Linked DNA regions of Alligator mississippiensis. The protein of the gene in region 1 purifies or fractionates together with the protein of each later gene. This does not show direct contact. Links are inferred from orthologs where the notes say so. Each region holds a gene or a part of one and is shown in the gene's direction. Other genes may lie near its edges.

Region 1 (7,618 bases):
AACGGCACTTAGCACATGTTTTACTATTGAATGCTTGGACACTAGTGTTTTTTAACAGGGCCTGCAGTGCTTTCTGGGTGAATCAGACAAGCCAAAGGGCAGGTGGCTGTGTCAATTGGTCTTACCACGGAGGCCAGAGCAGCCTTAAGGCCCTGTCTTTGAGGACCCTCTGCTCTCTTTGATTCAAGTAAAAACCTGAAGGCTTGCACTGGACAGTGGTGTAGACAAGGGCAGGTTGGCCTTCTCCCTCAGGAGATCAGGTTTTAGTTTCTGCTGTTTATGAGCCCAGCAGTTGCAGGCTACACTCATCCCTCCTTTTGAGTCTGTTTTGCTAGATGGTTGCAGTGAAAGAGAGGTGCTGGACACCAGCCAGAAGCCGAGTGCATGCAGGAGGGTGCACTGGTGTTTAGCCTCTGAGTGGGGGGCGGGTCTGTGAGCAGAGGCTTCTGCATCCCTCCGGTGGCTGGGCTGTGTCAGCTGGCTGGCGTGGAGGAGCAGGGACTGAAGGTGAACCTAGCCCGGGGGGTAAACAGCCCCCGTGCTCAAGCAGTGCCGCTGAGTGGCTCCTTCCAGGTTCCCTCTAGTACAGTGGTTCCCAAACGTTTTCTTAGGGTTACTATATTTTCAGATCTAAAAAAGAGGACACCTGTTGCATGGTGGGGGTGGGGGGAGGCAGGCAGGGATACAGCAGTGCCCTGCCTCTGCCTATTTTGTTGCCCTTTGCTTCCAAGCCACCCTCCCCCAGTCCTGTGCTGTCCCTCACTCCTGACCCACATACCCCAGCTCTGCCAGTGCCCCTCACTCCCAAACCACACGGTACTCTGCCCGCTGGTTCCCCTCACTCCTGACCCACAGTCCCCTGCTCCCCCCCAGCCCTGCCAGAGGGGCCCCAGCTGCCCCTGTCCTGACCAGGCCAGAGCGTGGTGGCTCAGAGCAAATCCAGCCCCAGTGCAGGCTGTACGGCAGAGAAAGGGAGTCCTGTGACAGCCTCCACCCCGGGCTGGGGCTGCCACGCTGAGCCAGGAGGCCCAGCGACAGCATACAGCCCACCTCCCGCTCCCCTTCCCCCCACAGCGTCTTCAGGCCGTTTTGCCCCTGCAAACATAGGCACCAGCACCTGTGCTGCCAGCCTGGCTATGGCCCTCAAAAGGCACCCCCCCATCCCCTTCCCCCTCTGCTGGAGGCAGGCAAACCCCCCCCCGACCCTCCTACCCTGCCCCAGCCCCCAACCCAGACTTATTTGTCTGCAGCTCCCTGCCTAAAGTCATCCCTCCCCTTGCTCCCACCAGCGGACCAAAGCAAAAACCCAGACATTTGCTCAGATTTGAAAAACCTGCCTGGACAGAGATGGGAGGACTCAAAAAGAGGACATGTCTGGGAAAACTCAGACATAGTAATCCTATTTTTCTTATCGCATACCCCCTCCCAGATTTACCAGCTGCCCACATATCCTTACCAGAATACTTTAACCCCTTAAATGCCAATTATTATTATAATAAAAATTAAACTCACCATTACACAATTTCTCCTGCGTGCCCCCCAGAGATGATTTGTGTACCCTCAGGGGTACCCATACCACAGTTTGGGAACCCCTGCTCTAGTATAAACCTACCCAATGCCCTGGCCAAGCAGCTTGAAAAATGTTCTCCTGGCCTCCTTGAGGAATTTAAATGCGAGTTGCCCCAGTCAGCCATATCCACGCTGTGGCCTCCTGTTCCCACACCCAGGCTGTGCCCTCCTGATCCCGTACCCATGCTGTGGCCTCCTGATCCCACACCCAGGCCGTGCCCTTCTGATCCTGTACCCATGCTATGGCCTCCTGATCCCGTACCCACGCTGTGGCCTCCTGATCCCGTACCCACGCTGTGGCCTCCTGATCCCGTACCCAGGCTGTGCCCTCCTGATCCCAAAGGCTCTGCTACTTCCAAGTCCGGAGGAAATGCACCAAGAGTGGGGATGCTGTGTCTCAACATGGGACTGCTTGACAATATGAAGCTCTGTGGTGTGAAAGCAAATCGGTGCCCTTTCTTCTCCTGTTCCCCTGAGGTTGGGAACGTGGTAAGTAGAGCCTGACTTCCAAAAGTGACAGTCTGTGGCCAGTGAGCAAAAAGCCTCTCACAGGTAGTTGGAATTTGACTCTTCAGCTTCGCAGGTGCATTGGTTTGTGAGTGAGCCAAGGGCTTGTTCAGAGCGAATGAACAAGACCAGTGGCCCAGGCACCCAGCCCTTCCTGGATCAAGAAAGAAGTCTGCACTTGCAGGAGGAGAGATGGGTCCAGCCTGTGCAGACAACACTGGGTGGCAGCATGAGCCAGGCTGGGCGGTGGAGAGCTGCTGTTGCATTGGACACAGGCACCTGTCTCCTGCATGCTGTGGAGGAGTTGGGTGAGGGGAATCAATTCATACTGTTTACAGATGCACAGTCATGACTCATATCTTAGAGAGGCCAACCTGCCCTCGTCTACCTCCGAAAGCCGGCAGGGAATCCTTCTCAGAAATCCGGGGTGACGTGAGGCGCTCTCCCTCAGGAAGCTGGGGTAGCAGTAGTTCTTAACTTCTTATTCATTTTCTCTGGCAAACCCACTGCTGGTTTGAGCCTAACATATTTAACTCATTTTCCTTCTTTTTTTTGTGGGGCTTGTGATCCCACTTCATTGCTGCAAACATGCAGTTTGGGGTAGGGTCTTGCAGGTGTCTTTTAACAGTGAGGAGTAGTGTCGACACTCCCCAAAGCAGGAGGAGGTGCGGTGCTTCGACCCCCTAACAGGCCTGAAATACATTTTGGAGAATCTGAAAGATTGGTACAGGAAAAACACATTTGGAGCATTAACCGAGTGGTGATACAAGTCCCTTGGTTTGGCCCTTTCCACTCCTGCAGTTAAATCATTGTCAACAGGTGCATTCATCATCAGTGCTGACAACAGATGTCGAGACTACTTGGCATATTTTTCCAATTTTACCAGCAGGCTTTAATGGTATGGAGAGAAAACTTGGTCTAAAACATAGAACTAAGTAATATGCTTTGAATGTACAGACATATCAGTTAGGCTCCAATGCTGATCTTGACTGAGCCAGGACACACAAACATGCAATGGGACAGGAATTGGAAAATTGAATTTGGAGAATCTGCAACTTACTGCACAATACTCTGCAGAAGCAATTTGGTTTTCGTGCCCACTCTTTAGGTTTTCCAGTACTGTCACTTTAATATATAGCATAAGCAAAAAAACCCCCAAACCTGTGCTTAATCTAAAAAGTCTTTTAGCTTCTAGTGTGTCATGGTCCCAAATCCACCTGAAGTCTATGCAGGGTTCAACTAAAAAACAAAAACCCTGAGGTACTAATAAGTTGCCATCGCCATGTGAAACCTGGGGAGGAAGGACAGGGATTTGGCAGGTCAGAGTAATCTCTGCAGGAAAGGGCTTATAAAACTTCTTGAACCTTTCCCGTACCCCCACATCCCCAACAAACAGCATCCTAAAGGCAATGCTTCTTCCACAGATTGCATTTCCCTGTGCCATCATGGGCTAATGGAGTTTAGTTCCACTCTTAATTAAAGGACATGTGAGCTGTGATGGACTTTTCTAGTTGGATTGCTTTACTTTTTGTAGTAAAGTGAATAGAATTAGTGATGATGAGCAAAGACCAAAGCAGCTTTGTGATGGCCTGAGCATCATTTATTCCAAGGTTCAGATTTGTAAAGGTATTTAGGTTCCTGAAAATGCAGATAGGTGGCTTGTAGGATTTTTGAAATCTTTTCAGTAAGCTGTGTGGACACTTATTGTTTTGGATGGGAGTTAGGCATGTAACTTGTTCAGGAATCTGAAAAATTCCACTTGGTACCTATAGACTACACGCTATCTGTAGGTGGCTAAGTACCTTTGAAACTTGTCCCCAAGGGCTGCTTTATATCACTTTGCTTAGAAGATTTTTTTACGGACAGAAGTGTGGTTGTAGTGCATAACTGAGATTTGCACTGTGATTAGTGTTTTTCAAAATGCTTTAAAAAATAAGAGCTAGTGAGTTCGTGGAGCAATTGAGTCACCTATTACACGGTGTCCAGTTAATTTCTTTCTCGATTTGAAAAGACATGCTGTTAAACATTGCTAATATGAATGCACGTTCAAGATTAGAGAATATTGCAGGATATGCTTTTAATGAAGCTTGTAAATAGATGACCACAAGTGTTTGAAGTGATTAAAAGTTCAAGTTCAAACCAGACTGGTTATATTGAGATTCTCCATTCACACTTTATGGGGGGAGAAAAGTTAATTTAGCTTTTAAAACCTCATCCACTGTTGCTGGTTAATTGATTATTTGAATGACTTTGGTCTGACTGAGTGTTAAACGTGTTACGTGCAAAATAGTAATGGGAATCATTGTGGTACGCTGCAAGAGTGAAATAAACCCAGGGAATATCTTTAGCTAGAAAAAGCCAACATTGTGTACAGGCGCCCTATGACAATACTTGGCTTATAAAACTACTTCAGTTCTGTAGGAGCTCTAATTGCAGGGAACAACAAGCTTATGAATTTGTTGTCAGAAGGAAAGGGGAGGAACTTAGATTTAGGTCTTGCCTCCACTGGGAAAGGAAACATTGAGAGTGTCTGTGTAATCTTGTACTGATGAGCTGGCATTGCGCTGCTTTATCAAGATCAGTATTTCAGATCCTCTGCCCTGTGGTGTGAGTGATGGTGATTTTAGAATGGCTGCGAAACAGAAGAAAGGGAAACTAATCCAGAAATGATGGGTGAAATGCTAGCTGGCATTTAATGCTGTGAGATAAACCCGAAGAGCAGAAAACTATTCGATATCAATCAGGTATGTGGTGAATTGGGTTACATATATTTGTTAAATGTTGTAAAAACTGATAGCCACTAGGTATATCAACAGTAAAATACTTCTGTGCTGTGATCTCATTTAATTTATGGTTTAAGAGGCTTATCCTTTTACAAATTATGGTTTCTAAAGTATGATCAATGTGTGTTGGCTTGTGCAGATAAAAATAATCCCTAAACAGGTTTATCCCTCCAAAAATTCTTTGGTTTCTCGTACCATTTCCAGGACTCTGGACTATAGAATCTTGATTCTTTTTCTTAAGATGTTTTTAACAAAAGTTTATTAACATGGCACTGCTGGAGTGAAGCAGAGGTGAATATTTGCATGCAAATTCTAGGAAAACAAATGACTTGAGAGTTTCTTTACGATAACGCATTGTAAAAGCCATTTGCTAATGTGGAAGGGTCTGATCCAATGGATTAAACAGGAATCTTTGACATAAGTGGCTTTTGGATTGGACCCTTCCTGCACTGTGGTGCGTTGAAGCTCCAAAAGATGTTAGGAGCCTCCTTTTTCAATCTTTGTTCTTTCAGCTACTCTATTTGCCTAAGTGATTTCCCATTTCTGTTGTTCAGTGGCTAAGATTTCACTGCCAGGTGTCTGCTTCATTTTTTAAAATATAATTAAATGTCTTTGATATTGGAAAAAGCTTTCCCAAGTAGACAAGAGAGGGCAAGCCTTGTTTGTTAAGGGTCCTTTAAAAAATTCTAAGGTCCTGGTGTTATAACTGGAAATATAATGCTAAAATTAAGATAATACATTTATTCTGAATTAATATTAATATGCAACTGTATGAAGCCATCATTGGTAAGCAGAGATCTTCATAGAAATTAATTAGGTAATCTGCCTAAAAAAACAGTGGAATCATCTAATCTTATTATTAGACCCATTTAATAAGACTTAAAGTTTGGAAAAAATAAAATGCATATAGAATTGCAGTCGAGTCTGATACAGACATCGCTGTTTCATAAAACTAATAACATAAAACCCCTGAAAACAGCACATAAAGAATATAGCTGTTCATCTAAGTAAAAAAAGTTTTGGTAGGATTGACAGCACCCAGAGAAGCAATCTTTGTAATATTAAGCGATACAGCCTCAGAATCTGAATTGCTGGGTATAAGTAGCAATCTTATTTCTTTTCACACCCCTGAAATTATTTTTGCAACCACAGATATCTCTTGGAGGAAAAAGAATAATGTGGGAGGATAGTATCTTTTAACTGGTATCTTTTACATTTCCGATTCCCAGCACACAATGGTCAGTAACTACTTTTCAGGTTTTAACAAAAGTTCCTGTGAACTGTATCTAGTTAATGTTATTTATATACACTAACTTAGCAAAGATAGATGGTCTATTCAGTCTCTTTCCAATCATACACAAAATGTCTATGTAAGATTGAAACCGGATTTTCCCCGTTCTTTTCAGAGTAAGGAACAGAGCTAGCATTGGCATACTTAGCATAACAAAATTACATGCGCCCAGACAATAATAGATTCCTTCCTTATAGATTTTTTCCAAAGGGAAAGGAGGAGCAGGGGGGAGGGAATAGCAAAAAGGAAAGAGGAGAAGAGGTAGTGATAGCAGTAAAAAATGCTACCCAGTGTGGGATTTGAAGCTGATCTTGAAATTCAGAGAAGTTAGAGAAGATACGTTTAAAATATTATGCTTCTGTTAGATCCTTTGATTTCCCAATATTTTCATACTTTTAAAGCTGAAGTGAAGAAATAGTTGAAGTCTTCAACAGAATAACCCTAAGGCATTTCGGTTGTTTGGGTGGCAGGATTTCCAGATGCAAATATCAGCCCTTATAGGTGTATTTAGGTGACAATGAGTGGATGAAGTATAAAAATATGAAACTATTGGAAAGCTATTTTTGCTTCAGGCTTCTTTAAGAGAAACAATATGCACACACACATGCAACAGCTTAAATTTTGGTTTCTTTGGTTAATGCAGTTTTTAATGCTGGTTCTTGAATGCCCTTCTCTTCCCCACTCAAACACATATGAGTAAAATGGACAGCTAAGAGAAAGGGATAATGATTTCAGAGGAAGAAGGTGATATGAAAACTCATTTTCCCACACTCATCTTCCTCCATACACTTTCATGCCTGTGAGCAGCTTGCTTCTGCTATCAGGAGGAAGTATCCAGAGAAGGGTGTGCCAATCTAGTCCCCAAGGAAAGAAAAATATCAGGGCCAAAAAAGAAGACAGTTCCCAGAATAACTCATTGACTCAATCTGTTGAGACAGTGGCTACGTCCAGACATGCAGGCATGTGTGGTTTGTAGCATTGCAAACCTCTTTGTGGCACCACAAACCACACGCCCAGACCATTAAGACGTGCCCTGCGCTGCAAATCTGCAGCATGGCGGCAAAATTTGCTACCACGTTTTCCTGGTAGCAAAAAAACCACTAAAGGAAAAAAAGCAACAAACAGAGGCTTGGTCCTCCAGGGAGACACTCTGGCTGTTGGCCAGAGCATCTCTGCTATTTTGTTTGTGCTCCAGCATGGCGGGAGCAGGGAAAGGCAGTTTGTCTGAAGCAGGACAATTGTCCCTCACCAAAGCACATGTGCAGGGGTGTGAGCTGTGGCACCAAGTAGCGGCACAAATGTGTGCTGCTGCTATTTGTACCCTTGGAAGCACATGCCCCTGCACATCTAGATGCGGCCAGTGAGTTTTAATATTATACCTTTTGGTTTTGTATTTTAGCAAACCAGAAGTAATATATAGGGAAGAAATGGGGAACTCCTAGTCCCATGAGTCAACAGCAAATGTCCT
Region 2 (6,840 bases), on another chromosome or scaffold:
TTATGCCATCTTAAACTTGTACAACTGGAAAATGAATGAATGAATAAACAAAAAACAGTGTCCCATCCAGCTGAGAGGCAATTTTATTCCCCTATTATCATTCAAATCCAAAACTTGGCAATAGTGTTACTCCTAAAGTTCTAATCATTAGCACTAGGATTGAAGCTGAAATCTTGGAAAAAGAAGTTCTAACAGACCGGTTATATTAAAAGGTTATATTAAAGTCTGATTTAAAAAACCAGTCTGATGAAACACTCTATCATTGTTTTCTACTAACTACTCTTGAACTTATAACCTCATTTTGTAAGTTATGCTTTACTTCAGTGCATCCAGTAAATTATAACATATTTTAATAATGGCAGGATTTTGCATACTTTATTATGGAGCAATTTTATTACACTTTTATGCCTTTAAAAAATTAGTTGAAGTATCAAAAATAAATTACTGCAGCCTGCAGTGCACATCAGCCAATCAGTTATGTAAAATCACTGTTTTTTTCTTTTTCTTCTTTTTGGTTTAAGTATAACCAATGTATAATGGGGTGTCTCAGTTAGTCTGGTGACTTTTCAAGAGGAGCTGCCATATAAGGGAAATATAGTCTGCAACAGTAAATATGTTCCAGCTAGTTTAATACTGTACGGGAACTAATTTGTGAAGACCAAGTGTGCAATCGAAAATTTTAAAACAACAGCCAGTTTCACATTGTGCTTTTTGACATGCCTGTTCGTTTTTAATGTGAGAAATACCTGTAACAAATAATAGGCGAATAGTTTGTATATTAACATTTCTCAAATCCTTTGTCAGTCGCTCAAGGTCTTCCTTCTTAGTTCTCAGAACTTGTTCATCCCTTATATTAATTTTCTGTGCTTTTGGTTTTAAAACATTAAGGGTCTCTGGCAGGAATTCACAAACTAGGCTGATTTCATGCCACTGCAAATTCCTTCCTTCCTCCTTCAGCTGTTTTCTTCTTTGTTAAACATCCTTCTCTCACCTTCCCCTACTGAACCCATGTGCACTATCAGCAGCTGCTTTGAAACTTGCTTTAGACTTCTTTTTAAATCTTCTCCCTTCTTTGGACAGGACTTGCTGTAGGAAAAAGAACTCCTCAGCTAAGGAAAAGCATTCAAAAAGCTTGAGCCTGAATGGATTCAATCTTTTCAGGTCAGGCTAACTTGGCTAGACTTAACCAGTTAGTAACGGGAAAGACATCCCTTCTGGACTGAAAAAATGCAGGCGCATGCCTACAGTGGCTCAAGTTGGGTGGGGCTACAGCATCCCTCCCTTCCCTTCCCTGGCAGGATGCTCTAATTTGGGAGAGCTGGAGGGAGGAGTTCTTCCCCTCCCCACCTTGCTGCTCCTGACAAGCAAGGGAGTCAGCAGGGAGTTACACAGCATTTATCAGCCCAACAAGAAAACAAAAGCTTCTCTCATCAGTTGAAGCTCTTCTTAAACAACTTTTTCCAAGGAAGGAATGGAGTACCTGCTGACCTGTTAATTAGCTCCAGAAAGCCCTAAGTGGACTCTGTCCTGTTCGCCTTTGTCCTATCTGCCTTACACAGACACCTCTCAGCATTACCTAGCTGACCCCATGCTGGTTATGGTCCGTGCTGTGGGAGAGAGGAGGGGGGAATCCCTGCTTGAGCAGGGAGTGGTGGTGGGAGGAAGGGGCACAGGGAAGCCAGGCAGCTGTGCCTGTTGTTTCTGCTGGAGCTCCAGCCACGGAGTAGAGGGGAGAGGCCAGCCCTGCTCTGGAGCAGAGAGCCCCGCCCAGAGCTGCAGCAGGGGTGTGGCAGCAGTGAACAGGGACCTCCTGCAGGTGGCTGCAGCAATGTTGGCAGCGGGGCATGGGGTGGTGAGCACTGACAAGTGGTTGACGACCACCCACAGACACCGCTGGTGGTGTTGGTGGCGAGGGGGGAGGGTAGTAAGTGGCGACTGCCCGCAGGCACCACCGACACCGGCCAGTCTCAAGGGGTGCATCGCTAATATCAGGGGATGCATGTGCACCCCCTACACATCACCAATGCCTAAATAAATTAATTCTGGTACTACATTCAACCAGGTTTATCTCAAACCAGTTTCAGCCATTTTCAAACTCGTTTATGTGCATTGAGTGTCTGTTCTGTTACAGGTTTAAACCAGTTTCTGATCATTTAAACCAGTTTATGTGTAATGTCTGTTCCTGACCCTCCACTATAACTTCTCTTCTCCCCATGTTTTTTAAAACTCCTGCTTTCACCACCCCGATCTTTTTTTTTGCTGGCTCTTCTCTCCTTCCACCTGCCCCAAAGCCCTACAATAATAATAGCCTCAACTGTTTAAGATGCATGAGTCAGACTCCAGGTATCATGAAATTGGCTGCAAAGTCCCAGAGTTTAGGGTGTGCTCAGATCATGGTCTCTATAGCTTGTCTATGATGAAGGTCTTGATCGAGGGTCTCATTACACATGATCTTGTTACACCCTCGATACAACCATGATCAAGGGTCTTGTTACACATTTCACTTTGATCTGCTCAAATGTCAACCGGGATTAGGGCCTTGTTACACCTTACACCATAAGCCACACAAATGTTGATCAGTGTTAATGCTAGCTTGTGTTTGGAGCGGTCACATTAAAAACCTTCTCTGACATCCCCAGCGGCAGTGCTGTGACTTGCCACTAGAGGGCTGGCAAGCAGGGGTCTAACTAGGTGCTATAGCTGCAAGTTGCCTCTACGAAGGGGCTCCCAACCTTTTTAGATTGAAGACTGAAACCGCAGACCAGAAGTGGCTACTGACTTGGAAACCACGAACTAGCAGACAACGTTTTTTATACTCAGTATAAAAAAGGGTTGGCTACTGGTCCGCCGTATGCCAGTCACTTCCAGTCCACAGTTTGCTGGTTCACGGTCACTTCCGGTGACACCGCGTGGGGCCCTGTGGCTGGAACAGCAGTCAAGACACTTCCACCTGGCGGGCGGGCGGGAGGAACCAAACCTCAACTGTGGCAGCCACCACCACAGGATAGGATGGGCTGGCCCTCCTGTGGACAGGCAGCCAACCGTTCGCGGCCCTACACCGCCACAGCCCAGGGGTTGGGAAGTCCTGCTTTATGGGGCTGGTGAGCCAGGACAGGCTTGTATCCCTGCTTGGGGGTGAGGGCAGGATGGGATATGAAGCTGGGAGGTGGACAGGAAATGGGTGAGGGAAGGGTGGCGAAATGACTCAAGTCAGTCGCTGAAGGATAACATAAAAAGTTAAAAAGGAAGGAATTTAAAAAGAAATGAAGAAGTAAATTAAAGAAGGTCCCATGTTTTAATAAACGGGGATTTGTTGGTCGTGCTTTCCAGGGTGGCCGGGCGGTGGGAGGCAGCCCCAGCGCACGGGGCCGGCGAGGGAGCGGGCTGGTGCCAGGACCGCCCCCGGGCAGCAGAGCTCTGCGGTAGGAAGTTTGTCCACACAGGGGCGCGGGGGAGGACACTGCAACCTGGGACGCTGGAGGACTGCAACTTAGGCGAGTCTGTGAGGCGCAGGCGCACGCTAGGCCTGAGCTGGGTCAGGCGGAGCGGAGACCAACCTGCCCGGCAGGAGCAGCAGAGCTGCGAGCCGCCTGATGTGCACTGGAATCTCGCTCAGGCGCGGCCGTGGGAGCGCGTCCGGAGCCGCCCAAAATAACGTACGCCAGGACCCCCGCGACCCTGAGCTACCTGCCGGCAGCCCTGGGAACTACAAGTCCCAGCAGCCCCCGCGGTGGCACAGCGCCTTGCGGCACGAACGGCCGGTGCTCCCCGTCGTGCCTCGCTCCCGGCGCGCCTCGATCTCGCGGCCTTTGGGGCCGGGAGCGGCTAAGTCCGATGTTCTCGGCGGTCTCTCGCGTCTCGCGAGAGCAGAGGTGGCGGAAGCTCCACGTCGCTGTGTCGGGAGCAGGGAGCAACACCTTGGCGTCCCCGCGGCGTCCCCGGAGCCATGGTGAGGCCAGGCCGGGCCGGGAGTGGGTTGGGGGGCTCTCGCTCCGTGCTGCACAGGCTGACGCTTGTAAAGGGGCCGGGGGCCGACGAGCGCCCTCTTGCCAACCCTGGCCTGCTGCGTCGTTCCCCGCCCGAGGAGGCTCCCTGACTCCCTGCACGGGCTGCGCTTGCTGGTGCTGCCCTGACGGGGACCTGGGGGCCGCGACAGCAGCACACAAGTCCCTGGCAGCTGTCCAGTGGCTGCCCCTGTCACCCAGTAGCTGGCAGCTGCGAGACCATCTCAACCAGAAGCTGCTTTCCCAGGATGAGTCATTTGGGGCCGTGATGGCACTAATACAGGCGTCCCCAAAACCTTCAAGCAGTAAATGTGCACAGCCGTCTCTTCCACTGTGTTTTAAGACAACTGTGCTCAATTTTTTGACCTCACAGGCTGGATTGGGCTCCGTGCGCCAGGCTCAGGCCCTACGCTTCCTCTGCCAGCCCCGTGCTGGGATTGTGGTGCAGTGTTCACTGGTCTTGCATGCTAGGATCAGGGCCTGCATGCCAGGGGGGACCCTGGGGCCTTGCGCTGCCCCCGCCCAGCCCTGTGCAGTGGGATTGGGCCCTGGTGTGCCACACCGTGCACACTGGAATTCGGCCCCGCACTGCACAGGGCTCTGATATCTGGCTCGCAGGTCTGGAAATTTGACAGCAGGGGTGCCGCACCTTTGCTCTCTGGCTGCTAAATTGTCAGCCTTGGGGAGCTCCACAGGCCAGGTAACATGATGCCAGGGGCCAGATTTGGCCTACAGGCTGGGAGTTGAAAGTGAAAAATTAAAAGCCTTCAGCCAGCTCACTGAGTTACAAGTTCTGTGTGTATCTGAGAGAGTCTTCAGGTTATATATGCTATAACTGTGTGTCAGCTACTTATATTTTAAAAGGAAAGAAATAATGTTTACCGGATTTCAGAAATATAATAAGTCTAATATTTGCTAATGCCAGCTTTAGTGTTCTCATTTTGCTTTTCAGTTTGAAGCTAGTCAAATGCTTACATTGCATTATTTCACCCATTTGGGAGGATAATCTTTCACCAGAGAACTTGTTAAATCAAGCAATTCTAGGTCAACCCATTTTGTATGTACTATTGAGAATTAAGTTTGCTCTTTTTAGAATATTCCATTCTGTGGCATATACTAGATGCTCCAGGGAAAAAAATACCTTGGTATAGCATACCCATAAAATGTCAGGTAACTTAGTTTCAGATTGCCAACACTCCTAAATAAAGAGGTCAAGATCAGTTTTGTTTCATCTGGCTTGGCAGCTGATAATGGACAAGTGTTTTTGCATCATACACAATTGCCATATTTTGTGGTAACTGACATTCTCCCTTGAGTTCTCAGCAGAAGCCCCAAGAGAGGAAAAGATATTAAGATCTACTGACTTTTTTGTCTTGGAAGCGTTTATTTAGCCAGCCAGTAGAAGTTTAAGCAGGGCTGGGTAATTATTTGGGCTGGACACTTAAGGAGCTTTGATGAGCTGTTGAGGGCTGGGGGGTTGTGGGGAGGAAGTGTTGAACTGGCCTCAACCTGTCCCATCATGGCTGTTTATACCACCCTGCATGCCAGGGGAGGAAGGAGAGAGGCATGGAGATGCCAGTTGGTCCTATCCAACCCCAGGCCTGTTTGTCCCACACCCTCCAGCAGGAGTGCCAGGTGAGCAGGTTCTCCTGGGTGACTGGCACGCTGCTCCCTGCCCAATCATGGCGCCATCCCACCCGCCTGGCTGAGAGTGCCTGCCTGTGGGGTCCTGGGCTGGTCTCCATGGAGACCCTGCCCATCCGCCTGCTCCATCTGGTGCCCCTGGCAATAGGTGCAGGGCAGGCAGGCTGGGGTGCCTGGGCAGCAGGGCCAGTTCTGGTGGCAAATGCTGGCAGTGGCAACCAGAAGAAACCAGTGCTGCTGGGTCTGTCAGGAAGCTGGTGTCAGCCATGCCACCCTTGCCCAGCCCTGCAGACTACAGCTCCTGGAATACCCAAGAGCTGCGCGTAGGGATAGGGTGGGCTGTGCTTTGCACCAGATAGGATCTCTGCATCCGGGGACAGCAGGATTGGTTTTACACACCATGACCTGCATTGGATAGAATCAGTTGGCAGGCTAGGTCTGGCCCATGGGCCATATTTTACCCACTCTGGGGCTTAAGGCTACATGGGGCAGAGTATTATGAGGTTATGCATGGTTTTGTTTTTTTAATGTTATTGTTCAAGTAGGTGAGAGGAGAAATACACATCCTTTGCGCTCCTTTGGGACTCACTGAGGTCAGTGGTAGTGTTGCATTCAAAATCAGTGCCTGTATGTTTCAAAACATCTCTTATCAGAGCAAGAAGATAAGAGAAAAGCCATAATGTGTATATACCTGGAAAAGCAGAATCAGATAGGTATATTTTTGGCCTGTCATTTATTTGGTTGGGTTACAAATATGTTAAGATTTTCAGTGCCAGTTTTACACTGAATAACCTAGGGTTCTTAATTTTATAGCCTCTCCGACTTGATATTAAGCGAAAACTAACAGCTCGGTCTGACCGAGTGAAGAGTGTAGACTTGCATCCCACAGAGCCATGGATGTTAGCTAGTCTTTACAATGGAAGCGTCTGTGTTTGGAATCATGAAACACAGGTAAAATTTCTGTTTTCCACTTTTTATTTGAGCAATGTTAATATATAATAATGCTTTGATACCCATATGCTGCTTACAGTGATGAATGAAATACATTCCACTGTAACAGATGTGAGGAAATTTAATTTATTAATAAAGGATTCATTGCTTTTTTATCTTAAAAAAATATTGCTCTCTTTACAAAGGGCCTGTTAACTATCTTTATCTTGCTGGATGGAAAAGGGCATAGAAACTAGAGGTA
Region 3 (7,413 bases), on another chromosome or scaffold:
GGCCTGTAGGTCAGATCCTGTCCCCAAAGGGCATGTGTAGATGAAACGGGGGCCCTAAATAGAAGTGGTGGGTTTTAAAAAACACCGCTTCAATTTAGGGCTGATTAAACCCCTGTGTTGTGCACACACCCCGCTGACTTACCTGCATCTCCGTCGGGGAGGGGAAGATGAGCTGCCAGCAGGTGGAGCAGTCCCTGGGCTGAGCAGGGGAGGGGGCTGGTGCTTCCCTCCATGACAACAGCAGCCCCCGCCCCAGGCTGCACCTGCCCACAGGCATCTGGCTTGGGCGGTCCCAGGGGGCACCACAGCTGCAGAGGGAAGCACCGGGCCCCCTCACAGCTCAGGCAGGCAGGCTCCAGGGGGGTGGAAAAAAAGATCATGCTCACTGCTTTTCTTGGGCACAGCCTGCTTTCCCAGGCTGCTACCAGGCTGCCTGCAGGGCTTCCTGCAGAGCTGTGGAGCTGCACGGAGTCTGGTGCTTTGCTCTGCAGCTATAGGGGCAGCAAACTAAAAGTCCTTGAAGGAGTTTGTTTGCTGCACCCCAAGTCATTTAAGTCGTGTTACACCGCCGAATTTCCTACAGCGTCTGGAATTAATGCGCAATACGTAAACGAGGCGTGCAAACACTGACACCATTAAAGCAGTGCAAAAGCATTTAGCTTGCTTTAAAGTGTCATGAACACACGCCCCTTGTTTCGTCTACTCACGGCCAAAGTGACTAGATCCAGCCCATGGCATGGGAAATTAACAGCAAGCAGCTCAATTCAGCATGTCTCCTTCCATGTCTGAATCCTGCTACTGACCCCTCCATAGACTTCCCTGCTCTCTCCCTCTCCCCTTCACTATGGCAGGTGCTCCCTTCCTCTCTCCTTCCCTCCCTCTGATGCTGGCAGCCACTCCCCTGCACCAACTCTCCTTCCTGTGGTGGCCCATGATGCAGCAGTCACAAGCACCTAGCCCACCACCCTAAAATGTTGAGTTCCACTGGGCCAGCACCATCAGTGTGGTATTTGAGAACTGCTACAATGTTTCCACTCACTTTTCTCTTCTTCAGAATGAACACACTTAGTTCATTTAGCTTTCTCTTGTAAATCATGTTTCTTAGACTGCTAATAATTTTTACAGCTCTTCACTGGACTATTTCCAATTTCTCTGTCTTTCTTGAAGTGTGGTGCCCAAAACTGAGCACAGCATTCCAGGTAAGTCCTTGCCTCTGCTGAAGAGAGTGAAACAATCACTCCACTTGAATTACAGATAATACTCCTGTTATTTTGGGGGTTATGGTTTTTTGGGGGGGTTTTGTTGTTGTTTGTTTTGGGGTTTGTTTGTTTGGTTGGTTTTTTGCAGCAAGAGCATACTTGGCTCAGATTCAGCTTGTGGTCCACCATGACCCCCCAGGTCTTTATCTACAGCAATTTATGTTTTTGTGTTTGATGGTTCCATTTTAAATGCAGTATTTCATGCTTGTCCTTATTGAGTTTTAGTCCATGAATTTTGGAATTATCATCATATTTTCTTCATTATTTTTCCAGTTTACCATGGTCATTCTGAATCCTGATCCTATTCTCCAAAGTGTCTGCAACTCCACTCAATGTGATATCATCTGCAAATTTAATATTTGCACTCAATCCCATGCTCTAAATTAGGGGGTCAAATATACCTAGCTCCCAAGGCCAGATCCAGACCATGGGGTTTCTCAGGGGTAGGTAGCACAAGGGAACTACACAGCTAAATGCAGAAGCCATTTGCCCTACCACCAACACATTTATCCAATGGGGCTCCGTACTCCAGATTTCAGCAGCAGGTCCTGCCCCCAAATTCCCAGCCCCACTAGAAGCCTTACTGTTCTGATTACACAGCCCCATGGGCTGTATGTTTGACACCCCTGCTCTAAACTATTAATGAGGATATTAATGAAACAGTACCTAGACCCAGGGCAGACCTTTAAGGAACCCCACTTGATACCTACTTGAAATTAGACGCCCAGACACTGATAAATACGTTTTGAGCACTTTGATCCAACCTGTGATGTGTCTGCCTTACAGCAGTTACATTTAAAACTAGGGTGACAAATGTATAGCCCAGCCTGCAAAGCTGATCTATCTGGCCTGGGGGCTCCTGGCAAGTCAGGAAATTTTGGGATGGGGCTAGCAGGGAGTACTGCTGAAGAACCTGGGGCTACAGATCTGTTGGATGTGGCTGGCAGCAGAAGAGAGTGACCGAAGGGGTGACACAGTCCTGTTCACCCCACGGCCATATGGCCCCTTAACCACCGTCACTTGCCACACCACCACAGTAACCTCTGCTGCTTGTCTCACCGCCAGGTCCAGATCCAACCCATAAGAAACCCCATAATCCAGATCCAGCCTGGGGTACAGGGTAAGTTTGACACCACTGACCTAAACTGTATTTCCTTAGCTTATTAATGAGAACATCACCAGAGATGGTATTGAAAGCCTTACTAAACCTGAAGTATATCACATCCACTGACATCCCTCTGCATCCACAACACCTGTCTCCTTATCTTAGAATAAGTTCAGGTTGGTCAAACATGACTTGCTCTGGACAAATCCACATGGGCTTTTCCCAGTCACCTTGTCCTCTAGGTGCTTAGAAATAAATTCCTTCACAACATGCATTCCTGCATTCATGCAGGCATTTGGGCTAGACAACATTTGAGGTACATTTCAACCCTAAGAGTTTATGTCCTATGAAAATTATATTAGATTTACAAAGGGTATTTAAAGTATCTACATAGAGAAACAACCTTATAGCTTTCTGAGGGTAATGCCACTGCTGCTTCTATGGGGATAAGAAAGAGCACACCCCACAGCTGGTCTTAAATGGGAGATATTTAGTAGAAATACCAAAAGCAGAAATTCAATAAATATGTGTGCCCTGTGCAGATAGGATCTGTTTTATATTCCTGTGTGAAGAAGCCTGGACTCCATTATGACTGTGGTTTAAACAAGATTACGATTGTGGAGAAGCTGACGGTGTGAGTGCAAAGCTTCCCCTTCACTCAGCACTGGAGTTACTTACTACACATTATGTTAGAACATGAGTGTCAAAAATACAGTCCATTGGAGCCCTATCATCTGGCCGCTGGTGCTGCCTGTGGGTCTCAAAGTTGAGCCACAGGCAGCATGCAGGGTGTGCCACGTGCAGTGTAGCCCCGGGGCTGTGCTGCTTAGCCCCAGAGCGTCCACCACACGCAGCAGTCCCAGAGCAGCCAGAGCAGAACCGAGCTGCACATGGGACCCACTGCATTTGCTCCAAAACACATGGTGGATCCAGCATGCGGGGCTCGTTTGTGGGTCCCATCAGACCATACACCACTTATCCAGCCCCTGGGGCCGGATGAGTTTGACACCCTAGCCCTAGAAGGAACAAGTGAGCTTCAGCCCACAAAGGTTTGTGCTCTATACATATACCTATGTGTATACATACACACAGGGTTTGAATTATACTTTGAGTCTTGTGGGGGGTCTGCAAAAAAAAATTGGGCTGGCCATCACAATGTCCTAATAAAATCAGAGTCCCCACCGCAGGTTATGATTTTCAAATCCTATGGGGGGCTCTCACCTCTTGGGGCGGGGGTTAACCCCCACTCCTGAGCTCCCCTGTATATGAACGCTGTATATACACATATGTATATAGATACACACGATATATATAGTATATGTATGTATAATGTATATCATGTAAATATGTGTATACATACGCACACACATTTACATTGTACACACAGGTATATACATACATGCATATGCACGCATGGATGTATAAATGCATGCATATGTAGAGACACAGGGATGTACACCCATACGCATACCTGCATATACGCATGTATACATGTGTGCATATGTACGTGCACATGTATGCAAGTGTATATCCACTTGTGTCCATACAGACATATATACATGCATGTGTACATATATATACATACCCCCACATTTCTGCATACCTGCACGCCTATGCATGCGCACATGGTCTATACACACACACACACACACCAGTCACACACGCGGGCGCGTCTGTAGGCCCGCAGGCCGCCACCCCGCGCGCGGCCCCGAGCGCTCCCGCCAGCGCGGCCGCGCGCGCCCCGCCAATCCCCTGCCCGCTGGGGCTGGGGCGACTGTGGTTCCACGGGGCGGGGCGCCAGGCTGCTGCCCTCTCCCAACATGGCCGCGCTCGCATCGCCGCCCTCCCGCTAGAGCCTCTCGCGAGAGGGAGAGGCCGCGGCACGAGAGGACTCTATGGTTCGGAGCGGGAGGAGAGGAGAGGGGAAGGGGAAAGGTAGCCAGGCGAGGGAGGGAAGGTAGCCAGGAAGGAGAGCAGGGTAGAGCGCCGCGCTTGCGAGGCACGCCGGGACAGCTCGCTCAGCCCCGCGAGTCCTCCGGGGCTGCGCCGCGCCGATCTCCGCGTTTGCTCCCAAGATGGTGGCGCCGGGCGCGGGCTCGGGCTGACACAGCGGCGCCCGCAGGGCCCAGCCCCCGCACCGCAGCGCGCCCACGCCCGGCCCGGCCGGCCCGGCCGGAGGCGGCGCCGGGGAGCAGGCCGCAGCGCTCAGGTCCGCGCCGGGGCCGGGGCTGGGGGGCCGGGGGAGACTGGGCAGGGGAGGCCTCTATTGCGCGGGGCTGGGCGGGGGCCGGAGGGGGGGGGGGCCACGGGCTTCCGCGTGACCTTGGGTGAACCGAGCGCGGCCGTGACTCAGTTTCCCCCTGACAGGGCCAGAGAGCGAAGTGGGGCCCTGGACCAAGGGGCCAGGCGCTCGGCCCGGTGTGCACTGCCCGGGCCCGGCTGCTGGGGTGTGTGTGCGCGCACATATACGTGTGTGTATTTGTGCCTGCGCGTGGTCGTTGCGGCGGGAAGGGCTGTACGTGGTGCGCGTGGCCCCTGTGGCGCTTCAGGCAGGTGCTGGCTTCAGCTGCAGGTTTCTGGGTTGGTTCTGGACAGAGGGAGTTCCCCCCCCTCCAGCAGGGAGGCAGAGGCAGGGTAGACCCGCCTCTTTATAGACTAATCAAATAAGATGCATAGTGAGAGAGAGAGAGAGGCAGAGATGGAGAGAGCAGGCGCAAGCCTAAGCTTTTGTAGGTTGGTCTGAAGTCAAGGTAGACCTGCGTCTTTATAGACTAATCAAATAAGATGCATAGAAAGGAAGACAGAGCGCAAGCTGGTGAGCATGAGCAAGGATAAGCTTTCGTAGCTTGGTTAGAGTCAGCCCGAAGTCAGGGTAGACCCTCCCCTTTATAGACTAATTAAATAAGATACATATATAGAGAGAGAGAGAAACATCATAGGTGAACAAGCAAGTATAAGCTTTCAGAGCTCGTTCTGAAGTCGGCCAGAAGGCAGGGTAGACCTGCACCTTTATAATTATATAAGATAAAGAGAGAAAGATGAGAGTGAGCGCATGAGTGCGAGTGAGTGCAAGCAAACACAAGTGAGCATAAGCTTTCATGGCTTGGTCTGAAGTCAGCCAGAAGGCAAGGTAGACCCACACCTCTATAGACTAATTAAATACAATACATATGTAGAGACACACATGAAGAGAGCACAGGTGAATCCGCAGGAGCAAGCATAAGCTTTCATGGCTTGATCTGAAGTCAAAGAAGGCAGGGTAGGACCACACCTTTATAAACTAATTAAATAAGATATATAGAGAGCATAAGCTGTCATGGTTTACTTCACCATATGTTTTGGAGACTGCCTTTTTTGGGTGATGCTCCTCACTGTCCAAACTTATGGCCTGACTTTTTGCAGGCTGGAGGCTTGTGGCTATTCTCCAGTGGCACCAGGGGATGTGAAGCCAGTGGTGGAACAGTGCAAACCTTTACACTATTAAATGCTCCTGACTTTGGATGTATAACTACAAATGCCACTGATCAAACTCGTAGCCTTAAGGTTGGCCACACTGTGCTGTTTTCTGGTGCTTGTTGCTTTGGGGCTCTGGGCTGCTCTAAGGCAAGGAATGTGGTTCATTCCTGCGAGCTCATCCTTGCAAAGCAGACCTCTGTTTCTGTACAGAGTCTTATTGGTTTTCTTAGGCTGGGTTTCAAAGAAGGCATAAGGTGTCACAAGAATCCGGTTATCAGATCAAGGCCCTGTTTGGTACAGGGCATTGAGCCTCTTGTTTCTACCAAAAAGTCAGTTCTGCGGTTGAAAACCTTGTGGTGTTGTAGTTGAGTGTTATACACCACTCAAAAAAACAAACAAACAGTAGGCAAGTCATTTAGGAGAATGTTGTGTGCTGCAAATGCAGTTAGCCCTGGGAAAAAACTTTAAGGATGCAAAGTTTCTGGCTCTGCATAACACTGCGAAATCGAGTTTGGCACTTGTTATGAACAGTAACTGTATTCATCTACTAAACTAAACATATACATTTTGTATTCTAACGTGAACATGACTCACTTCCTCCTAATATCACATTGTCTAAATCTACACGTTTTGACTAGTTGTTATGGAAAAAAACCAACACATTAACATTGAATATGGTGAGCAGTTCCAATACAAACCAGTCTTGAAGCAGTGATAATCACAGTAGTTAATGCAATGTTTTCATATTGGAGTTAAGTCTGTATCTAGAAAGATTCTCTCATTCCCCATTACTGTATTATTTCAGTGCCTCTCATATAGTTAAAAAATTCAGTCTTTCTTCCTTCCTAGCCTGCAAAAAAATAATAATAATTTGATTTGATTACTGTATTTTATTTTTGGCTTTCTGTGGGGAGGAAGTGCATTTTTGTATACCTTGGAGAAAGTTATTGAAGGAAAGCTAAGTCAAAGAAATGAGATGTGTAATACATGGGGAAAAAGAAGTGGTCTCCAACTGTCTTTACCTTTTTGGGACTAAATGCCATAGTCTGGATTCAGGTCCTTATGCATTGCAACATTGTGTCTCTGGTATCTTGCTGTCCTTTATATCACATACACAACTGTAGGTTTAAAACTCACTCTGCATACAGCTGTGGTTGCTAAATGACTTGTTGGTGATACTTGTAAACAGTTGGCAGTTCTTATGGGTTTTAGCAAATTAATAAGTAGGATAGGTACAAACATAGTCTTTCTGTAGTAGTCCTGTACCTATTATAATTTCTATTTTCAGATTATTAATGGGCCTTTTCATGTCATGTTGGACTGGAACTTCTTACAAAAATTACTGGCCTGGGAAGAGGTTCCCTAATTTTAAATGTGTGAAATTTTTAGCATGCAAACTTTCAAAAGTGATAGTAGCTGGGTTGATTTTCAGAAGCTTTTCAGTGCAACTCTCAAAAAAAAAAATGGTCACTACATAAAAGTTAAAAAGTGTAATCCTGCTGCTCTTGCAAAACCCTTAGTATATTTGTTTACACTAAGCTAAGCTATTTTCCACTTTTTTTTTCCTCCTTAACTACCACCAGTCCAGCTTCC
Region 4 (7,561 bases), on another chromosome or scaffold:
CCCCCCATCTGGGCCCACTCCCCCTTTCCTCCTGCTGCCTGGGGTCCAGGCCCGATGTGGGGAGGACTGGGCCCAAGGGTGGGGAGAAGCCAGGCCGTGGCGGTGGAGGGAGGCAATGGAGCAGCGGGCCCAGGCCAACCTGACAGCAGCAGGGCGATGGGAGGAGTGGGCTTGGGGCAGATGCGGGGGAGTGAGGCTGGGGGAGGAGTGGACCCGGGTCCGACGGGGAGAGGAGGCTCGTTCTCCCCTTCCCCTGCAGCTGCCATGTTGGGCTGGGCTGGGCTGGGCCGGGCCGGGCCTGCTGTTCCCCCCCACACTGCTGTGGTGGGCTGGCTTTTCCCCCGACTTGAGCTTGCTCCCTACCGCCCCGCGTGAGGCCCAGGCCCAGTCCTCCCCTGGCCCCACTGCCACCGCTGATGCCATGGTGCTTCTGCTCCTCCCCTCTGTGTCGGGCCCGTTCTGTTGCTGCTGCCTCCAGGGAGCAGGGTGGAGGGGGAGCAAGGCCGTCTCCTATATCCCCACTATCATGGCGGCAGGCTGCCTTCTGTCAAAACACTTCTTTGTGCTCTGATTGGCTGTTTGTCAGCCAATCAAAGCGTAAATAAAGTGTTATGGACAGACAGACAGGCAGTCGGACAGACTTAGGCTTTTATAATATTAAAATAGCTATCTTGAGCTAGGAGCAGATGTTATCCTAGGACTAGTTAGACCTGTTTTTTGTACCAGAACAGAACTATCCTGGGATGAGTCCGTGAAGAAATCCTCCTTTCTTTCTTCATCACTTTGGTTATTCTAGGTGGACCCCCCCCCCCCCCCCTCTCTCTCTCGCTTTCGTTTTTGTTCAGGCTGGTCAACCAGGTGACCTGGCTGGATAAATTCCTGAGGGGAGTGGGGTATGCTCCCTTCCTGGTGCCAGGCATTTTTGAAAGCAACAGACAATATACCTCCAGGCTGCTGCCTGGATGATTTTCTGTAAGTAAAGACTTAGAAACTAGCCAGGAGTTAGGATTTATGTCTTGGCTAGGCATGTTTTAAAAGGATTATTATGTCCAAGGCTGTATAAGACTCTGATTGCTTATGTTTACTCAAAGTGTATTCTGACTTCCTTGTTCTACCCCTGCTCCCGCCCTGATCAATGAAGGTAACAGGTTACAGTGTGCTTTGCTATGGTACAATGAAGGGGAGAGAGGCAGACCTTTTTGCTTTCAGCTTAGCCAGTGGAGGTTGTCTGTTTATGTTCCCTCAGTCCTACCTGAGGTTATCTTGGGATGCTTTGGGCCAAAACAGGCACCCAGAAATATTACCTGTGGGCAAAGCAACCACACGGTTCACAGGATCTGTGTGCCCTGGGCTCCACAGAGCTCTAACAGAAACCAGTACCTGGGTGGTGGCAGCGTTACCCCAGAGTTGCGGGTGTTCTCCAGGAAGTGGGACAGCTGGCTGTAGGCACCCTGTGGGAGACTCCCAAGTGAGGTTTTTGGGCCTGGCACAGTGAGGCAGGTGGCTCTGAGTAGTAGTGCCCCCTACTGTGCCACCACAGGTTTCATACATGAGTAGATCTCTGATTTTGAAAAGAGGGGCGCAGATGGTGTGGTGCATCAATATTTTTCTCCAGTTAAAGAGAAATTAGAAGATTTGCTAATATGCTAGGAGCCCAGAGATACATTATTCAGTTTAAGATCAAAGCAAAACCAAATTCAACTTTATTGGCATGTGCATTCATTTGCTAGATCAGGGGTCAGATGCGTTTTTGAACAGCATGCCCAAAACACCCACAACCTTGTCTGTAAGATGTTGGAATTCCAGGGACAGACAGCAGGGAAGCCATGAGGGCCCTGATCTTTGTTGTGGCAGCACAGCCCCGGGCCCTTCCCTACTGTCAACCCTGAGGTGTGCATGCCAAGCAAAATGCTTTCATGTGCCACACTCTGGCACATGTGCCGGGGGTTGCCTACTAAGGGTGTGTGAAGTTTTGGTCGCTGATTCGAGTTGGAGAAGATTTGGCCCAATTCAGAGGCCAAATCACCGAATCCAAATAGAATTGGAAGACCAAAAAAACCCTCTGAATTGATTCAGAGCTGCCAAATTGATTCAGAAAAGATTTGGAAAAAGATTTGGAGATTTGGAAGGACAAATTAGTTCAACAAGAGGAGTGGGCAACAAAAAAGAAGATTCCATTTCTCAAATGTACATCCTCTAAACCCTATAAGAGGAAATGTTCTGCTAGGATGTCCCTCCCCCACCCCCCATTTCCTTTCTGTACATCTCTTCTTCTACATTGGCTATTGTATTTTGTCTTTCTGGGGTTTTATTTTGGTTTTGGTCTTTTTTCCTTAGTTGTCTTTCCCTATTCAGCCATCTTCCAGAGCAGGCATCAGCAATCTTTTGGAGCAGCAGAGCAGGCTGCTTTAATGCACCTGGCTGCTGCCACTGCCTCCGCTTCTTCCATCACCACAATGCTGTGGTGGCTTCCCCCGGCCAGCAATACTGGTCCCTGCTGCAGAGCTGACCTCCCCAACAATTGCGGCAGACATCCTCCCACTGCCGAATCGCTGCAGATGTGTCCAGGATTCGCAGACCAAATCTGTTTACTTGGTGGGCCTGATCCGGCATGCATGCTGTGGGCTGTTGATCTTTATTCTAGGGTCCCTATTTTCTCTGCGTAGCCTTTTTTATTTCCTTTCCCATCCCATTATCTCTGCCTCTTTTCTTCTTGAGTCTATCTGCTGTCTCTTTCCCATGAATGTAGTTTATTGAACGTTGTTTTGTAGCCAGAGAAGTAATAATTTTAATAAAGTTCAGTGTGAAAACTACTGGCCACTCAAATGAAAACATCTTTTAGTGTCATCTTCTATCTCTATGGTAACACAAGATGGAAATTGCCAAAGCAAATCTGCAATTATTAGAATGGCTAGTGGGGCCTTAAGAAAGAGATTATTTAAAAGCATGAGGCCAGCATGCTACTTGCAGACAAGGGAGTCTTGTCAGGTATTAATGCTTATTCTGTAGCTCTAGCTGTATAACCAAATGGCTGTTTTGTCCTTTCTTCTTCACTCCTAACAGTTCTTTCAACTTTCTTTTGAGAAATTATTTTTCCACAATTTCAGTGTTCTTTGCCCCAAGTTGAGGCAAGCCTTTGTTGTATACTGGAGTGTAAACCCAAGTTTATCATAAAAAGGACACAAGACATGGATTCCTAATCCAGTACACTTGCTAGTAGAGATGGTTCAAAACATTGGTTTTTTTCAAAAACAAAATTAATTTACATTTGAATTTAATTTGTATTTTAGAAAACTGAAAGGCCATTTTTCATCAAAATGTTTTGAAATTTGTTGTCTATTAAAATTTTCCAGTTTTTCAATGAGAAACTATACAGATTGAAATCTTTTGGGTTTTGAAAACTGACAAAAAACGATTTATGCTTTTACAATGACCCTCCCCCCCCCCCAATGTTTTCAACTAACTTTAGGTGCTAGTGACATGAATGCACACACCCTTATGGAAAAACCTTTCACAAATTTTCTCTAGGAGGGAGGCATAAAAACAGACATGTTTATCATTAAGATCTGGAAAAAGGGAGGGAGGGAATTAAAGTTAACAGGAATAAATTGATATGTTATTTTAAATATATGAGACTGATAAAATACAGAAAAAAAATGTTCTACCTGTGGCCCTGATCCTGTAGACATTTATACCTGTGTTTAATTTTGTTAGTTCTTTATCACCTGAAAAAGCATTTTATTAACAAGTTTGAGGCACGTTAATGCAAAGAAAGCATTGACCTGAAAAACATGCCACCACCAAAAAAGCACGCAAGCAATTCCACAGGCAGACAAGGTGCTTTGGGTAAATCCAATATATTTATCTAATAAAACTCTAATAAAAGATACCGGATTTACCCAAAGAATGTGTCTGTCTATGTCCTTAGACCAACGCAGCTACAACCTGCACCCCTACGAGCAGTTACAAATTACAATCACATCTTTTACCAAAACATGTGACTCAATAAGCCACAAAATCAATTTATTTGCAGCAGTTTTTGTTTTTAATGTCTGGTTTCTATTCCAGTGGTTTTTGGAAATGCATAACTACCGTTGTCAATGGCCAGAATAGGAGATGTGATTAATGATGCTGACTGATGTGTCCATGGTGCCTCATTGTCACACGGATCAAGCCACTCTGGGAGCGGGACCGCTAAAACACGTGGCCCAATGGGTAGTGCCTGGGCTCCCGCAGGGAACCAGCTTCCCGTTCACCCTTTCAGCCTACCCTCGGTTGAGGCGCCCGGTGGCACGTGGGGATTCTAGCCCGTGGGTTTAGGCATCTCTGCAGTCCAGGCATGAACTACAACTCCCAGCATCTCCCGCGCTCGGGCCCTGAGGAGCCCAAGAATTCGAGGGCACCCCTGCCTGTCTGAAAGCGTCTCGGGATGCTGAGTAACGAAGAGTGTTGTAAATTTCTCTGCGAGTGGCACAGTAGTGTATGAGGGCAACTGCGTCCCGCTTTTACACCCTGCACTGGGGGCAAAAGGTGGGGCTTTTTAATCAGGCACTCCGACGGACGCCCCGCGCTATTTCTGGGCCTCTCTGCGGCGGGTCGCGGGAGTCGGTTTCCAAGATGGCGGCGCCGTTGGCGGTAAATTCAGGTAAAAAAAAAAAAAAAAAGCCGAGGTGCGGAGTGGCGGCGTGTGTGGCCCCTGCCCCGCGCGTGCTGCCCCCCCCCCTCCCGTTTCGTGCGCGCGGAGCGGGGCCGCGTGGGCTCCTGGCGGCGGCGGCAGGAGAGCGGGGCCTGTAGGCGGCGTGACCAAACGTCCAGATAGCTAAGTGCCGGGTGCGTGGTGTGTTGGCTCCGTGAAGCTGTCGGGCGATGCTGTTATCCAGTCCAGGCAGGACCAAACTTCCCAGCCTTTCTAGCCGTAGCCGAGCGCTGCAGGCAGGCACATCAACGTTTTTTATGCTGACTGTCTGGAGTCGATGACTGGCTTGCCGCCCAGCTCTGTAATAATGCATCGTTATCTTTTTTTTGAAGCAAATCACATGTAGGATGTAATAAACAGACACAGAAGAAAAAGAAAAGGTTTTTATTTAGCTGCTTCTTTTTCTTGAGGATTCACATTACATTCTCCAGGAATCTTTTGTGGCTTGCAAGCCATGGCATAGGCACATGTGATCTAGTCCAGAGGTTTTCAACCTTCTTTAAGGAGTGTACTCCTTCTAGGTACACTTCTGGCTGGTGGTGGCTGGATATGGGGGGGGCTACACACCGTGTGGGTGGTGGATGGTGGTGGCAGCTGCCATGTGTGAGTTCCTCCCCACTGCATCCATCTGTCTGTCTGGGCAGTGCCTGTGTGGCCTGCAGAAGGGAGCCACTACCCCCACCCCTGGCCCTGCTCCTGGGAGGTGGTGGTGCGGGGTGGTGTGTGGCGGTGCTCCACTCCTGCTCACCCATGCGTACCTCCTGGCCCCTTTTCAAGTACCCCTGGGGGTATGCTTGATAACCCCGATGTAGTCTTGAGCGGCACAGAGGAGGGTTATCCAACTGGTGGCTCATGGGCCGTGTGCAGTCTACAAGAAGTTAATCTGCTGCTCATGGACTCCCCTTGGCCACTACTACGCTGGTCTTTGGACAGCAGCAGCAAGAGCCAGGGTCTTCAGGCTCCCTCCCTTCTTTGGCTTCTACCTCCTGCCCCTGCCTCAGAGATGGGAAAAGAACAGCATGGCTAAGTGCAATGCAGGCTGAAGTGCCAAGGGAGCCCGTGGCCAAATAGATGAGCACGTGGATCAGTGGGGAGAGGCAGCCCACATGTGCAGTAAAGTAGTGGTGAAAAGAGCTGCCTACTCACATGGTGTGGGGTGAGCTTGCAGCTCCCTCAGTATGTGGCCCCTGTTTGTGCAGGCCTCGGTTGCTAAGAAGTTAAAATTGCCTTGACACAGACCACAGAGCTGGATGCAGCAGCTCTTGCCTGAAGCTTTAAATTTGTTTGTTGCTAATATGTAGTAATTCATCCCCTCTGTGACTGCCACTCCTGGTTTATATGTAAGTGAGAGAACATCAGATGTCAGAAATTTGTCTCAATTGAGTTCTGTTGAGAGAATGAGAATTGTTTAGTCTCCTTTATGTCAGGTCTCTATTCTATAGAACAATGTACATACATACATACATACATACGGTATGTAAACTGTATGGGGTAGTATGGAAGACTGGAAATGCTGCATGAATGTTCTTTGTACTTGGTTTTGCTACTTAAGTGATGTCAGTCTTAGAGGTTAGGAGATATAGCAATAAAGTGAGAAGTTCTAGAAGTCACACTGAGTTACTGAGTTAGAGCTTGTAAAGGAAATTCCAACCAATAGGAAAAGGTTCTTCAGCCACATAATTAAAAAGAAAATCATGATGGAAAATGTGGGGCTGTTGTGCAGTGAGGGTGTATTAGTAATTAAAGTTAAAGTATACAGGCAACCTCTCTTTAACGCTATTTCGCTATAGTGCTCATTTCACTTTGATGCCCGGTTTCACTTAGCGTTCATGGGTTTTGCTATAATACTCATGTATCGGGCAGGGAGTGTCAGCGGTGCACAGCCTCGTTGCCATCTTGCTTTGTCAAAAACTTTTGTGCTCTGTGCTCTTTCTTGCTCTTTTGTGCTTGTGTCACCATCTTGCTTTGTTTTTTGAGTTGTGCCATGAGTCAGAGACGTGCAGCTGACTCTGAGAATGCAAGTGCTGAGAAAAAACAGTGCAAATGCATAATGCTGGAGCTTAAATTGGATGTCCTGAAGCAAATTGAAGCAGGGAAATGCCAGAATGAGGTCTGTAGAGCGTTGAATTTGTCTGGGTCAGCTGTTGAAAATTTAAGACAAAATAAAAGAATGTGATAGATTTGTAACTCCTTTGAATGCTTTGAAACCCAGTATGCGTAGGGCTCCAATTATGTTAGAAATGGAGAAGCTGTTAAGTGTGTGGATTGAGGATACGACTCAACGCCATATGCCCTTGAGTATGCTGCTTATTCAGAAGAAGGCTAAGAGTCTGCATGATAATTTACAGAAAAATTTGCCCAAGGGGTCTGCTTCTGAGCCTTTTTATGCAAGTAAGGGGTGATCCGAAAGATTTAAGAGGCACAGCAACTTGCATAATGGTTCTATTCAGGGGGAGGCTGTTAGTGCTGACACCCAAGCAGCTTCCAGCTGTAGAAATAAGCTTGTGCAAATTATTGAGGAGGGGGTTTATATGCCTCAACAAGTCTTCAATTCTGATGAGACAGGCCTCTTCTGGGAGAGGATGCCTTCTAGGACCTACATTTCCAGAGAGGAGAAGTTGATTCCAGGTTTCAGGGTGTCCAAGGATCGACTTACTTTATTGCTTGATGGTAATGCTACAGCGGATTTTAAATTGAAACCATTGCTTGTATACCACTCAGAAAACTCCAGGGCTCTCAAAGGGTATCTTAAAAGCAGTCTGCCAGTCATTTGGAAGTCTAACAAGAAGGCCTGGGTGACCATGTCAGTGTTTCAGAGTTGGTTCAGGGCTTATTTTTGTCCTGCAGTTGAATTGGGATCTTTGG

Evidence for each region.
Region 2: the proteins of ESR2 (region 1) and COPB2 purify together in Homo sapiens (affinity purification with mass spectrometry; 3 studies listed by BioGRID and IntAct, with this or other methods). This does not show direct contact. The link is inferred for Alligator mississippiensis from reciprocal best matches to the Homo sapiens genes ESR2 and COPB2.
Region 3: the proteins of ESR2 (region 1) and UBE3A purify together in Homo sapiens (affinity purification with western blotting; 4 studies listed by BioGRID). This does not show direct contact. The link is inferred for Alligator mississippiensis from reciprocal best matches to the Homo sapiens genes ESR2 and UBE3A.
Region 4: the proteins of ESR2 (region 1) and NUP205 purify together in Homo sapiens (affinity purification with mass spectrometry; 3 studies listed by BioGRID and IntAct, with this or other methods). This does not show direct contact. The link is inferred for Alligator mississippiensis from reciprocal best matches to the Homo sapiens genes ESR2 and NUP205.

Annotation. Positions count from the first base shown.
Region 1 is NC_081825.1:291,561,619-291,569,236, forward strand, and holds the start of ESR2 (estrogen receptor beta), read left to right. Parts: upstream 1-4,597; 5' UTR 4,598-4,820; intron 4,821-7,618.
Region 2 is NC_081830.1:45,473,520-45,480,359, reverse strand, and holds the start of COPB2 (coatomer subunit beta'), read left to right. Parts: upstream 1-3,839; 5' UTR 3,840-3,946; coding exon 3,947-3,949; intron 3,950-6,461; coding exon 6,462-6,599; intron 6,600-6,840. UniProt on the Homo sapiens protein: The coatomer is a cytosolic protein complex that binds to dilysine motifs and reversibly associates with Golgi non-clathrin-coated vesicles, which further mediate biosynthetic protein transport from the ER, via the Golgi up to the trans Golgi network.
Region 3 is NC_081824.1:341,771,469-341,778,881, forward strand, and holds the start of UBE3A (ubiquitin-protein ligase E3A), read left to right. Parts: upstream 1-4,397; 5' UTR 4,398-4,573; intron 4,574-7,413. UniProt on the Homo sapiens protein: E3 ubiquitin-protein ligase which accepts ubiquitin from an E2 ubiquitin-conjugating enzyme in the form of a thioester and transfers it to its substrates.
Region 4 is NC_081827.1:91,530,715-91,538,275, forward strand, and holds the start of NUP205 (nuclear pore complex protein Nup205), read left to right. Parts: upstream 1-4,559; 5' UTR 4,560-4,617; coding exon 4,618-4,645; intron 4,646-7,561. UniProt on the Homo sapiens protein: Plays a role in the nuclear pore complex (NPC) assembly and/or maintenance. May anchor NUP62 and other nucleoporins, but not NUP153 and TPR, to the NPC.